3 linked regions of the Tribolium castaneum genome follow. The protein of the gene in region 1 purifies or fractionates together with the protein of each later gene. This does not show direct contact. Links are inferred from orthologs where the notes say so. Each region holds a gene or a part of one and is shown in the gene's direction. Other genes may lie near its edges.

Region 1 (5,844 bases):
TAAATTTTAAATTTACCAAGCATGGTAAGTGGCGTTTTCACCACACTTCGGCTGTAACGTAAAGTCGGAGGATAAACGATAAAGTCAATTCGAACCTGGCTTTTGTCATTTCGGAACTGACTCGAGTGTATTGGAGTTTTTGTAAAGCCAATATTGACGACTTCAACGTCGGAGCAAGAACTCGTACAACTGCAAGAAGTTGTTTTCTCCTTAACTTTCTTGTTATCAATTGTGCACAAAAGCCCCTCAAAATCACAGTCTTTGACTTGATCTAGAAAGTAGTTTTAATTAATAGTTTATGAACCGACTTGTTACCATTGTGTGGTAAAATGTGATAAGTGCAATTGCAAATCTCCCTTTGGGCTTCAACAAGACATTCGTTCACGCAAGCTGAAGTACTGTACAATTTTGCATGTTGCAAGTTATTTTCATCGTAAAATCGACAACCACGATTTGCGATTTTCATCAACCTGGCGGCTTCGTCCGTGAAAGTTTCCTTTGTAACAATTGTAAAACAGTCACTCAAATGTAATCAATTTACTTTAACTGATAAAAACGCCTTGTAGGCTGTTTTAGCAACAATTCCCGAGCTTGTGCGTGAATCTAGCAACACAAACTCGCTGGAACTTTCCTTAGTAGGGACGGAGTCTTGGCTCAACCCATACACAATGAACCCATCATGGTACAGCTCAACTGATAAGTTGCCATAACCGAAATTTGAGTCGCGCGTTATTTTGAAAGGGAGGTCTTCCCGACTTGTGTATTTTCTAATAAAAATTATTTTTAAATTTGTTTGGTGAAATAAAAGGCAAGTACCCTGAAACCAGAGAATTGAAGCCAAAGCAAGGCCCGTGGTAAGTGTCAATGGGCAAGAATTCGTCACAGCAGGGAAATTCTTCGTTGTTGTAAAAGCACGAACTAATTGCTTCCGAACAAGTGCTGCGGAACTGCAATTAAACGAGTGCAGTTATGTTAACTGGGAAAATACCACAACCTTATGCATGTATTGCGAGTAATTTGTTAGCAAGCATTTGTCACGTAGAGCACCATTTGGTTGGCAAACTTGCGTGTGTCTTATGGAACCGTCGAAGAAAACGAAGGTTTCGAGTTTGGGGAACTGTTGAGATATGGAACCGAAAATTCTTCGAGCAGAGAGAGTTATAACAAAGAAAATCACAATTAACTTACTTCTTGTTAGCTTCGAGCATTTTTTTTGGATTTGATCGTTCGCAAATAACAATTGAAGGAAAGTTTGTTTGCCAATTTAAGTAAGATGTGTCCACTGAAAAGGATATTTTTTGGTTTTGATACTGGTCTAGTGCGTTAAACATTAGCATAATCGATGCGGCCTGTGAATCTATTTTATTGTGGTAAAAATTTGACGATTTGTGGGATTTACCCAAGAAGTTAGGACACATATTGTCCAAAAAAATCTTTCAGTCCAGTGGAATCTCTTATCAGCTATGAAATGCAAGCCATGTAGAGACGTGTTTAAGAAATATTTTGTAACAATACTCATTGTAGTGTAGTTGGGAATTTGTAATCAATACTATTTATGAGTTGGGTCATAATGCAGTAAAACTTTAATAAATTATTAATAGATGTGTTGAATTGTCGCTGTACAAAAACCTAATAAAAAGTTAACAGTTTTCAAACTATCAATTATATCATCGTAATATTTATTATGTATCTGTGGGAAACCAGAATGATACGTGAGCATTTAAGTAACCGCAAGCTACTTAAACATGAGAAGAATTAAAAAATAAGGAGTGCCAGTTGTAATAAAGAGCATGTGTGATTTCTATTAATTTAATAAAATACAGTCATTTCTTGATAATGTTTTTATTGAGTCCACGTTCTATTTTTATGGATAAAGTTTGTAATAGCAATATCAAATTCAATAATCATAAATCATAATAATTTCGCCATTTTTCGTCCATTTTTAATTTAATAATTAGGTAGGCAAAACCAAATGCTCAGTTGTTTTATTGGTCATCTACTCAATAAACTTATTACGTTTTTTAGTTTTATTTATTTCGACAAAAACATTCGTAAATTTACGTTCTTTTAAAACGAACATCATTTTATGTTTTTGACTTATTACCGATAAAATTTCACTGAAAAATCGGCTGTTTTTGAAAAATGTGTTTTTTTTATTTTGATATGCCTCTTTTTTGCAGTCATGTGTTGAATGTTGAATAAAAACCGAAAAATCAATAAACTTTATGCTATAATTTTATAATAAAAATAATGTTTAAATGTAAAATTTACAAAAAAGTGAAAAATCAAATCATAAAGTGACGCAGCCTTAGCCACTTCTACAATCAAACATATGCTTATCTCTCTTTAACTTAAAAGATTGCGATACGTGTCTCACTCCGATAAGATGGTAACCACAATGATAACACCGTGCCAACCAACGAAAAAAAGCTTAGGGATTAAATTAGACAATAAGGTTGTGCAATAATCTATTTCCTAAACCACTTTTTAATTTTGAGGCCATAAAAAAGATCAGTGCGCTAAAAACTGAAAAAGATAGCACGAGTGTTTAAGTTTCCCGCTCCGTCAATTATGCTTCGGAAAGAGAAATGACGATAAAAAAACAAATGATTAATCAGGAAAATATGGCGCTTGCCAGGAGAAAAATGTAGAAATTTTAAAGTAACCATAGTCGAGTTGTCATCAATTGAAGTGTTAAAAGTGTTTCATCAGTAAACGTGAATAAACCCGTGCTTCAATTCGTTCGCGACGAAATCTCCAAGATGAGTGTCGACGCATACGGCCCCAGTTCGCAAACTCTCACGTTTTTAGAGACCGAAGAAAACGACTTGATCGGGGCTGACACCCAAGGATCCGAATGCGAATTCACCGATTTCACAATTCCATCGCAAACGCAAGCCTCGCAGCACGACCACGCGGGCCCCAAAGTTTCCGGTGTACAGGTTAGTGCAAGGTCGCCCCCTGGTTCAGTGTCGTATGACGTTGTTGTTTTAGCTCAACAACAACATCAACAACAAAATCGCCAATGCGACGAGTGCTTTAGGGGAACTGCAATTCGAGGAAGAGGATGAGGAGTATTTCAACAGCAAGGAGCTCCCGAACTACGCGTGCAAGTACTGCGGCATTCATGAGCCGAATTGCGTTGTCATGTGCAACTGCTGCAAAAAGTGGTTTTGTAACGGGAGAGGAAACACCTCAGGAAGCCACATAATCAACCATTTGGTGAGGAATTTCAACTTGGAAACTGTTTTTTGATTGGGGTTTAGGTCCGAGCCAAACACAAGGAAGTGACCTTACACAAGGACGGCCCTTTGGGCGAGACAATCCTTGAATGTTACAGTTGTGGCGTCCGCAATGTTTTTGTTTTGGGGTTCATTCCTGCCAAAGCTGACTCTGTTGTGGTGCTACTTTGCCGCCAACCTTGTGCCGCCCAAAACTCACTTAAAGTAAGTCATTGCTTTTAAAATAGGACAGTTTTCAAGCTTTTAATAGGACATGAACTGGGATCAAGACCAATGGAAACCACTCATTACCGACCGGTGTTTTCTCACATGGCTTGTAAAAATACCATCAGAACAGGAACAACTGCGAGCGCGCCAAATCTCAGCCCAACAAATCAACAAACTTGAAGAACTTTGGAAAGATAATGTTGATGCCACGTTCCAGGATTTGGAACGGCCAGGAGTTGACGAAGAACCGCAACAAGTTAGTCTTGTTTGCACAGTTCTAACGTATTTATTATAATTTTTTTTGGTAGGTTTTATTGCGATATGAGGACGGTTATCAGTACCAAAACATTTTTGGTCCTCTTGTTAAGCTTGAAGCTGATTATGATAAAAGATTGAAGGAGTCTCAGACTCAGGAAAATATTGAAGTTAGGTGGGATGTGGGTTTGAATAAGAAAACAATTGCGTATTTTACTCTTGCTAAAACTGACGGGGATATGAAATTAATGCACGGAGATGAGTTGAGACTTAGATACGTGGGAGAAATGCATAAATCATGGGCGGGGGTGGGACACGTTATCAAAGTTCCTGATAATTACGGAGAGGATATTGGCATTGAGTTGAAGAACGGAAATGGGGCTCCCACCGATTGTAACAGCAACTTTGTGGTGGATTTCATTTGGAAAAGTACCAGTTTTGACAGGTAAATTTCGTTGTTGTGATAGAAACAGAAATAATCACGTTAATCTCTTTATGTATCACATTTTTTATTTATTTTTTTAATTAATGTTTTACTGTTAGTAGTCAAACGTTGAAAGTACCATTGTTATAAACTTTCACATTAAATATAAGTATAATATTACAATCAAACTTTATTTTAAAAATCACAGTAATTAAAAAAAAAGCATGAGAGAAGTGACGCATTTTCACTTCTTATTTCCGAATGTTAAAAAAATCTTTGTAAGATGTTAATTTTAAGCGTTGATATTTCAAGCTATATTAATGTGGTAATTTTTTTATAAGGTTTCTAAGAATATTTAATTAAAAAAATAATTATGTGAAAACAAGTTTTCACGTCGTTTTTTTCTGAGCTCGCCTTTATTGTTAATTGCAGGATGCAACTCGCCTTGCGAAAATTCGCCGTTGACGATACATCCGTTTCCGCCTACATCTACCACCGCCTCCTCGGCCACGAGGTCGAAGAGGTCCTTTTCCGTTGTCACCTCCCTAAACATTTTTCGGCACCTAATCTTCCCGACTTGAACCGTTCGCAAGTCTACGCCGTCAAACATGCCCTCCAGCGTCCACTCTCCCTCATCCAAGGTCCTCCCGGAACGGGAAAAACCGTAACTTCCGCCACCATCGTCTATCAATTGGTGAAACAAAACGGCGGTCCAGTCCTAGTCTGTGCTCCCAGTAATACGGCAGTTGACCAACTTACCGAAAAAATTCACAAAACTAATCTAAAAGTTGTAAGATTGTGTGCGAAATCACGCGAAGCGATTGATTCGCCTGTGAGTTTTCTTGCATTGCATAATCAGATACGTAAAATGGAAGCCAATACTGAACTCCAGAAGTTGCAACAGTTGAAAGATGAGACTGGAGAGTTGAGTTCAGTTGATGAGAAACGATACAGAATGTTGAAAAAATTGGCTGAGAAAGAATTACTCGAAGCTGCCGATGTTATTTGTTGTACTTGTGTGGGGGCAGGTGATCCACGATTGGTTCGTTTGAAATTTCATTCGATTCTGATTGATGAAAGTATGCAAGCGACTGAACCCGAATGTATGGTACCGGTGGTACTAGGAGTGAAACAATTGATTTTGGTTGGTGATCATTGTCAGTTGGGTCCAGTTGTTATGTGTAAGAAAGCAGCAAGGGCTGGATTGTCCCAAAGTTTGTTTGAGAGGTTGGTGGTATTGGGAATTCGACCGTTTCGCTTGGAAGTACAATACAGGATGCATCCAGAATTGTCGCGTTTTCCCTCCAATTTTTTCTATGAAGGGAGTTTGCAAAATGGAGTTTGTGCCGATGAAAGGAAGTTGAACAAGATTGATTTTCCATGGCCGGTTATTGACAGGCCCATGTTTTTCCACGTGACCCAAGGGCAGGAGGAAATTGCCGGGTCTGGGACTAGTTATCTGAACCGAACTGAGGCAGCTAATGTCGAAAAGATCGCCACTAGGTACGAAAATCATTTGGTTTTTTTTCTGTTTGCCTATTTTTTTTAATTTGCTTTTTTACAGATTTTTGCGGTCGGGAGTTAAACCGGAACAGATCGGTGTTATAACCCCATATGAAGGTCAGCGAGCTTACTTGGTCCAATACATGCAGTACCAAGGCTCACTTCATAGTAAGACTTATCAAGAAATTGAAATTGCAAGTGTCGATGCGTTCC
Region 2 (3,757 bases), on another chromosome or scaffold:
CCTAAAAAATTATTATTGTAAAGAAATAATTATTCTAAAGAATAATTTATAAAAAACTATTGGTGTCAAGACGCAGTGGTGTGGTGTTTGTATGTGTAGTTGTTACTAAGTCACTGGCATTTCCATCTTTCAATGTCGCTTTTAAGTATTTAAATGAGTTAAAAGCCTGATGAAGTTTATTATAAAATCGAAACGTTGCAACTTGTCGTTTTATTTACAACCATTTAAGGAAGCTGTCCTAATGTCATTAAATTTTATTCCAATAAGAAACAAAAAAATATAAAATAAATAGAATATAAAATAATCTCACTGTAAAATAGTCTAAGAAAAGACTGGATTATAGATCTGCAGACAGCTTTTTAACAAAATTTGAGAAAAAAAATAAATTTTAGACAAAAGAGAAATCTAGAAAAGAATAAGAGTACAAAAAGAATGCAAAAATTAATAAAAAGAAATTCTAATTGAAACTGTGGAAGGGGACAGAGACTGGAAACTGAAGGAGAATTTGGAAAATCTAAAAGAACAGTCTACAAAATATTTATGAATAAAAATCTAGAGACTCAAGACAAAAGAATAATTTAGAAAAATTCTAAACGAAGCTATAGAAGGAATTTGAGAAAACGTACAAGCCACAAGCTAATTTGGAGAATGTATAAGAAATACTTTAAAAAGATTTTGAATAAGTTACAAAATAATTGTGAAAAACATCAAGGGAAGAATTTAGAAATGAATCATAAAGTGGATTTATAATATAATTAAAAGAAGAAACCGGATTTTAAAACTATTAGAGACGGCTTTATAAAAAAATTGAGAAAAAAAAATTGAAACAATAGAAAAGAATTGGTACAAAAAACATACTAAATATTGATAAAAAAACTTTAATTTTAACTTAAATGAAATTGTAGAAAAGGGTCAGAGGATGGAATAAAAGAAGAATTTGGATAATGTAGAAGTAGTGTTTATAAAGAACTTTTAATGCAGTATAGAAAATAATTCTAAATAAAAATCTAGACATGAATCTAAAGAATAATTTAAAGAATAATAATTTAAAAAAAATGTAAAGATGGGGTTATAAAAAAATAATCCAAAGAAGAGACTGGATTTTAAATCTAGAGACGACTAAAATAATTTGAAAAACATTTTTAGAAATATTTTGAAAAAAGAGCAATCTAGAAAAGAATTGGTACAAAAGAATACTAAAAAAATAATAAAAAAATACTAAATAAAACTGTAGAAAGGGACAGAAAGTGGAATCTAAAGGAGAATTTAGAAAATGTAGAAAGCGTTTATAAAAGAATTTTGATGAACAAAGCATTTCTAAATCAAAGTCCATACGATGAATTTATAAAATAAGTTTATTTCCTATTTCATATTTACAGATGGTTTAGAACAATGAGAGAAGAATGTTAAAAAAATAGTGACACAAAATCAAAGCATAATTTTGGAAGATCTAAACGAAGGATTTTGAAAAGTCGCAGAGTAAAATCAAAAATAAAATTTTTAGGATGTATTAAAAAAGTGATTTCAAAGAATTTTGAATTCAGTCTATTAGCTGTTTTTTAAACTACAAAAACGCCAACGTCACATTTTGTCTCAAAATTAGCTGTTAATGCTGTTATGAATTTTTGATGCACCTAAAAAAAAATAATGAAAGTTATAACAAGCGAATTTTTAAAATTTTGATCTAGGTATCCTTGACAGTTACCTCAACAGTGAAATATATTACGTAAATAACTTCAGCATCGCTTTATCTGTCAATATATCTAAAATATTCACCGAAGAACATAAAAAATTATGCTGGATTCTTATTTCCCTAAAGGACATTGGGTTAACTTAACTGTTGTGGATTACTAGATCAAAATTTTAAAACATCGCATGGTACTTTCAATGAAAGATCTAAACATTAATAACTGTTTTACAATTTCATCAACCTTGGCGTTTGTATAGTCTTGAAACAGCTAATATAAATACAAAGAATATTAAAAAAACATTTGGAAATGAAGTAAGAAACGCCACGTTAGCGTTTATATAGTTTTGAAACAGCTAAATAGAAATGTATTATGAAACATTTTCGGGATCTAAATATGGTTTTAGAAAAGAATATGACAAGAATGTTAAGAAAAGTCTAGGGACGAGTACTGAATCCATGCTGAGGAATAAATAATTTGAAAGAATGTTAAACGAAATTATAGAATTTTGAAAAGACGCAAGGGAAATGTTGTGTGTTATTATTATTAGATGTTATTAGTGTTTTGTGCAATAAAAATAAATGTATTTTTTATTTTATTTATTTTATTCCGTGTTTTTAAATCTGGAGAATTATGGTGTTACAAGTGGCACGGTTGGCAACGCTACCGCGACTTCAAACGTCAAAGAAGCATCCCAAATTTATGCTAAAAATCGGTCTTTTTTAATAAAAAAAACGTGTGTAGTGTCGTTGTTACAATGGCAGATGTTTTGGACATCAACGATTCCGTCGAATTGGACGTGGAAGACGAAGGAGACCGTAGGCAAGCCGTAACATAACCTCTCCTTTTCCTAACCTCACATTTCCAGAGAGCGTTTTGCGCCTGAAAGATAAAGTTGTAAAGCGGAAAGGTCGCGGCTTTGGGCCTGGAGAGACCAAGGAACATGAGAAAATTCGAGGATATGAAAGCATAGATTCCGGGGATCACGGAGACGAGCCTGGGCCACAGAAATGTAATTTGCATTTTAAACAGTTTTAGTGTTGTAAACAGTTATTTTGCGTTCTAGCTGTGGAGGGGTGGATTTTGTTTGTGACTTCGGTGCATGAAGAGGCCAGTGAGGATGATTTGAGTGAGAAGTTTTCCGAGTTTGGGGCTATCAAAAATATAAGTATCAACTTGGATCGTCGGACGGGTTTTTTGAAGGGATATGCTTTGATTGAATATGGGACGTACGAGGAAGCGTTTGCGGCCAGGGAGGCTTTGAATGGGTCTTTGTTGTTAGGGCAAACAGTTGGAGTTGACTGGTGTTTTGTTAAGGGGCCCAAAAAGTAAGTTTCTTGGTTTTGAATGGTTAAATCTTAGTGATTTGATTTCTTTTCAGGTCAAAGAAACGTGCAAGGAGACACTGATTGTAACTGTAAATTATTTATAACTCAATTTTCCACTTATATCCATTAATTTCTTAAGATTACAAAAGTAAGGTTCTTTGGTGTATTTTATTTATGACATTCAAGAAGTAATAAATTGTGAGTTTTTTACGTGTGAAGTGTATTTTTTCTATAGTTTGGGACAAGCAAGTATTCTCAAAAGACTTGGTAAAAAGTACAATGTGATCATTTAAAGTTATGGTTACAATAGATTTTAAAATTGTTTTAACTTGGATTAAAACGGTGATTATCAATTATCACCATTAATCCAACTCAAGTTTAAATAAGGATCGGTATCAGAAACATATAAAAATAAACAGTCATTTATTGTAAAAAAAACACTAATAACTGTGCTAATAACAAAAAACAATGTGTACTCTGTTTCTGTGAATTGTAGAATTGTCAATGTCACAATCAATAGTGGAGTAGTTGTTTCAATACTATAAAAACATCAACGTTGCATTTTCCCTTAAAATTAGCTGTTATAACTTATTCGTGGACTTAAAAAAAATAACAGCTAATGTAATTTATATTTTCAATGAGATCTAAGTATTAATAACTATTTTATAATTTCATTAAAAAAAATAATTTGGTAAAATGCGACGTTGGCGTTTTTATAGTTTTGAATCAGCTAGACCCACA
Region 3 (4,905 bases), on another chromosome or scaffold:
CATTTTCTCCAAATGATAATATTTTTACGAAACGTGAAAACAGATATATTTTAGGAAAAACTGCTAAAGTTATTAATTGTATTACACAGAGTTCTCGTGAAGTTTGTGATCTATTTGCCCCGCAAATATAAATGCGCCATTGCATTTTTTTTTTGCTAAACGTTTGAAATGGAATTTCAAATTTGTTTACTGTTTTTTTTCTTTTTAATTTCTTATCATTATCCCTTTACTCAGTCTTTTGTGTAATAGTACTATACTAATGTATAAATTCAGGATAAAATGGCTAAGATGACCATAGAGTTATAGGTCTTAAATTCTGTGATAAGCTTTAATAGTCGAAGGTTCGGTAAAATTTGAAAAAACTATTAAAAAGTTCATAATTCCTTTAGAAAGAAATCTCGACAAGGCAAAAAATTAATTAGATATTGGAAAAACTACTCTAATTTGAAAAAATGTCCTATTATTTATTAATCAGTACTCAGTAGATGAATCACTTCAAGAATCATACTGTTTGAGTTATTAAATACACAAGTTCGGACTATGATTAAAAACTCTTGCTGTTCAGATTACACAGGTTTGTAAAAAGGGCGGTAGGATTAGAGAAATTTATTTGAAATCGTGGTACAGTAAATACAAAAAGCAGTCACAGTTAAAAAAGTATGATTAAAGATTGCAAAAAAAATTGTTTGTTAATATTTTTTTCAATTATTGTTGCAGTGCATATTTGAAGACGGAACCGATGTTGGAATAAGCAATTTAAAAATCGTGGGGTCGCGAATTATCGCATCCCGATTGTATGGCACCTTGGAAATGTTCCAATTACAAACTTACAACCGTGGCCATCCAGTTGACTGGAATTTCACTTGCGCATACCGAAGAACCCACGTAAGGACTGGCTCAGTTGGTTCCGTCCCTGATCACACCAATTTAATTTCACAAGTAAATTATCATTTTTAACTCTGAATATTTCTCCAAATTACGATTTTTAGAACGAGGATGAGGAAGATTTCCGGTGTTTGAAAGTTTTCAGCGTTAAGGCACACCAACAGCCGATTATCTGCCTCGACTGTGAAGGCGGCAGAATTTTAACCGGCAGCCAAGACCACACGCTTAAAGTGTTCCGACTGGAGGACGGCAGCCCCCAGTACACGCTGCACGGCCACTGCGGCCCCATCACCTGTCTTTTCATTGACAGGATCAGTCCAGCGACTTCTGGCAGTGGCTCCCAGGACGGAATGCTCTGCGTTTGGGATCTTCTAACTGGTAAATAGGTTTGGTGGTAGGCCGAAATTTAATGAGAGCGTCGTTACAGGTGCCTGTATGTACAACATCCAGGCCCATGATGGTACGATAACATCGCTGACGTACTCTGCGAGTTACGTGATTTCACTGGGTTCTGACGACCGCATTTGTGTTTGGGAGCGCTTCCAAGGCCATCTTCTGAACACCATTTACGTTTCTCAGACCTTTTCTAGCCAGGTGTTGATGTTGGCCCCTCATTTGGTTGTCACAGCTCGCAGTGGAGGGCTAGTTATTTGGGATGTGAGGTCGGGTGAATGTGTCCGAACGATTATATTAGGCCGTTCACCGTATATTTTTATCAAACAGTTGATGTTGTTACGCGATGCTGTGGTCTGTGATTACGGAAATCAATTGCGCATCGTGAGGTTCCCTCTTATCACTCATAAATTTGACTAGGTTGTTTCTACGTGCCTTCAATGATGTAACATAGTTTCGTCTATTTATGTCTTGTTTTATTTTTATGTCCTTTACGTAAAAGCGTCAAAACGTACTGTAAATTTTTCACTGACAAAAGGTTTCGAATACCTAATTGTTTTTTCATTAAGTTATTTATTTATTTGGCGGAAATAAATGCATTTAACATGAATTTTTATTATTGTTATGTTAACTATTTTTGTAACAATAAATATTTTAAATAACGAGATTGGTTTTATTTCCATTTCTTCTGAACTGCAGTTGCAAATAAAATAGTCATTGAAGCGATAATTTGCTTTGCCCTACGTTGCGGTACGGTTACGCCAGTGGCGTGTAAAGCCGACATTAGGGTCATCCACGTTTTCTGTCATCTGTCATTCGAAACGACATATTTTTCTTTTTTGTTGTGAGTTGTGATGAGCATTTCATAATTGAATATAGAGCTTTTGGTGGATTATTTCTTTCATTTCATTCAAACACACTCTATATTTACATGCGTCTTAGAGTTTGCGAGCGACGTTGAGACCCGCACTGAAAACAAGCCTAAATCATGGGGGTTCCCAAGTTTTTCAGATACATAAGCGAACGCTACCCTTGTTTGAGTGAATTTGTGAAAGAATATCAGGTAAACCGCAGCCAGCACCCAACACGTCCACATTCTGGGTTTCAGATCCCAGTTTTTGATAATTTGTATTTGGACATGAACGGCATAATCCACATGTGTTCGCATCCGGACGACAACAACCCTCACTTTCGAATCACCGAGGAGAAGATATTCGCGGACATTTTCCACTATATTGAATTTTTATTCCGGATGATCAAGCCCCAAAAGGTGTTCTTCATGGCAGTGGACGGGGTGGCGCCCAGAGCCAAAATGAACCAGCAAAGGGGACGCCGGTTTCGGTCGGCGAAAGACGCGGAAAAAATGGAACTTGAGGCGAAAAAAAAGGGCGAGAAATTGCCCGACGTGGAACGTTTTGACTCAAATTGTATCACACCTGGCACTGAGTTCATGGCCAGGTTGCACGAACAGTTGAAATATTTCGTCGTTTCTAAAGTTTCAACCGACAATATGTGGAAAAAGTGTAAAATAATTTTATCAGGGCATGAGACGCCCGGCGAAGGGGAGCATAAGATCATGGATTATATAAGGTACATTAGGTCCCAGCCTGGGTATGATCCAAATACGCGCCACTGTCTTTATGGCTTGGACGCTGATCTCATTATGTTGGGGTTGTGCACCCATGACCCCCACTTCTCACTGTTGAGGGAAGAGGTCAAGTTTGGCAAAAAAGCCAAACGAAGCAATGTACCTGAAGAGATAAGATTTTATCTGCTGCATTTATCTTTAATGCGAGAGTATTTAGAAATGGAATTTTCGCCTCTCAAGGAGGCTTTGAAGGATTCAGATAAGATTAAATTTGACATTGAAAACATTATTGACGACTGGGTACTAACTAAAACTTTGGAAAAATGTGACTGAAATTAATGCTTTTAGATTCTGATGGGCTTCCTTGTTGGAAACGATTTTATACCAAATTTGCCTAATTTGCACATCTCTAATGGAGCATTACCTGTTCTTTATAAAGCTTACATTGAAGTCTTACCAACATTAGATGGTTATTTTCGTTATTCTTACTCAAAATGTTGTGTAATTCGTTTTTGTAGGCTACATTAATGAAGCCGGAACGCTGAATTTAGAGCGGTTCGAAAAATTTATGAAAAAGTTGGCAGATGTAGATATAAAAAACTTTGAGGAAATCCAAGATGATTTAACGTATTTTGAACGCAAAACTGGGAGAAAAGCAACTGCGCATCTTCCCGTTAGTGTAAGTTATTCTAATAATGCAAAAAAGTAAACAATTTTGCCTTTTTCGAGCGTTTTACACATCTTTCAGGTGCAAACGCAATTGTTTTGCATGAATAATAAACCGAAAAATTACCAAATTAGTTGCAAAAATCTTAGATTATTTCATCTTTTAAGTACGTTTTTGAGATTAAAGAGCGAAATTTTCTTAAATTTGCTTCTCCAGAACCAATAAATTATGATTATCATTATTTTTCTAGTTTTTTATTTTATTATGACATTGTTCGTACAGAGACGTTGATTATTGCATGGTATTTCTTTAAAAATAATCTGAGAAAACGTTGACTTTGCTCGAAAATGGTGTTATTTTTTATGTTTTGTGCATTTAAGCACATTTTCATTTAGAACAATTTCTTGTTTTTGACAGTTTTAAATTATTTCCAAAATAATTGGGTTTGTTATTTTTATTAAACATCACGTTAATTGTTGAAGTTTGTTTTAATTTTCTTATATTTTTTAATTTTTATTGGTCTCGCTTTTTGAGAGGCTCGGAACCGTCTAATTTTTAGCTGAGAGCCCATAAAAACACTGTAAGTTTGTGTACTTTTTTAAACATGCTAATTAAGAAGACCTAATATTGTTTTTTTCCTTCAAAAATGATTATAATTATTGTTATTTGGAAATCCATTAAACCGTGAAAAAACTAAAAATAAAATATTACGTTACGTAATAGATTTTCACTGAATACGCTATTTTACAATATGAAAAGTTTAATATTTAGTAAACTTTATTTTTTCTACACTCTAGTCTAAACCTGTTAAAAACGGCGAGGAGAAAAAAATTGACCCCGCACTTGCTGAATTAATAGCAGCAACCGATAGTTTGGTAAGTCCTGGTTTAAAAAAAAACTCTCCCAATTGAACATTTTCAATGCAAAGGCCGTCTCTTCCGATGAAGAAGACTTCGAAAGTAGCATTTCATCAGAAGAAGACGAGGCTTTCAAAAGTTACAAAGACGAGTATTATCGTAATAAATTAGAGTTCCAAGAGGTGACGCGAGAAGTGATGCGAGAGCAAGCCGAAGGCTACGTCCGTGCCATCCAATGGAACTTGAATTACTACTACAACGGAGTGTGCTCATGGTCGTGGTTTTATCCACACCACTATTCGCCCTACATCTCCGACATTAAGGGTTTTTCCGATTTGAAAATCGACTTTGAGCTCGGAAAACCCTTCAAACCTTACGAACAATTACTGGCTGTGTTGCCCCCAGCCAGTAAAAAACTCCTCCCGGAATGTTACCATTCCTTAATGACTGATGATAATTCGCTGATCAAATCATACTACCCTGAGGAGTTTCAAACCGACCTAAACGGCAAACGC

What was found. Proteins that work in one complex are often made in the same cells at the same time.
Region 2: the proteins of regulator of nonsense transcripts 1 (region 1) and tsu purify together in Homo sapiens (co-immunoprecipitation; 7 studies listed by BioGRID and IntAct, with this or other methods). This does not show direct contact. The link is inferred for Tribolium castaneum from reciprocal best matches to the Homo sapiens genes UPF1 and RBM8A.
Region 3: the proteins of regulator of nonsense transcripts 1 (region 1) and pcm purify together in Homo sapiens (affinity purification with western blotting; 4 studies listed by BioGRID and IntAct, with this or other methods). This does not show direct contact. The link is inferred for Tribolium castaneum from reciprocal best matches to the Homo sapiens genes UPF1 and XRN1.

The regions. Positions count from the first base shown.
Region 1 is NC_087397.1:526,647-532,490, forward strand, and holds the start of regulator of nonsense transcripts 1, read left to right. Parts: upstream 1-2,429; 5' UTR 2,430-2,762; coding exon 2,763-2,942; intron 2,943-2,994; coding exon 2,995-3,222; intron 3,223-3,266; coding exon 3,267-3,446; intron 3,447-3,492; coding exon 3,493-3,705; intron 3,706-3,757; coding exon 3,758-4,149; intron 4,150-4,560; coding exon 4,561-5,631; intron 5,632-5,692; coding exon 5,693-5,844. Other genes in the region: sodium channel protein Nach, read right to left, coding at 17-271, 316-496, 542-767, 817-947, 995-1,142, 1,189-1,349, 1,400-1,519. UniProt on the Homo sapiens protein: RNA-dependent helicase required for nonsense-mediated decay (NMD) of aberrant mRNAs containing premature stop codons and modulates the expression level of normal mRNAs.
Region 2 is NC_087399.1:11,507,532-11,511,288, forward strand, and holds tsu (RNA-binding protein 8A), read left to right. Parts: upstream 1-2,330; 5' UTR 2,331-2,445; coding exon 2,446-2,506; intron 2,507-2,556; coding exon 2,557-2,700; intron 2,701-2,754; coding exon 2,755-3,016; intron 3,017-3,069; coding exon 3,070-3,097; 3' UTR 3,098-3,226; downstream 3,227-3,757.
Region 3 is NC_087398.1:6,305,575-6,310,479, forward strand, and holds the start of pcm (5'-3' exoribonuclease 1), read left to right. Parts: upstream 1-2,074; 5' UTR 2,075-2,266; coding exon 2,267-2,341; intron 2,342-2,386; coding exon 2,387-3,166; intron 3,167-3,214; coding exon 3,215-3,335; intron 3,336-3,384; coding exon 3,385-3,545; intron 3,546-4,330; coding exon 4,331-4,408; intron 4,409-4,461; coding exon 4,462-4,905. Other genes in the region: SCAP (sterol regulatory element-binding protein cleavage-activating protein), read left to right, coding at 718-939, 990-1,263, 1,313-1,698. UniProt on the Homo sapiens protein: Major 5'-3' exoribonuclease involved in mRNA decay. Required for the 5'-3'-processing of the G4 tetraplex-containing DNA and RNA substrates. The kinetic of hydrolysis is faster for G4 RNA tetraplex than for G4 DNA tetraplex and monomeric RNA tetraplex.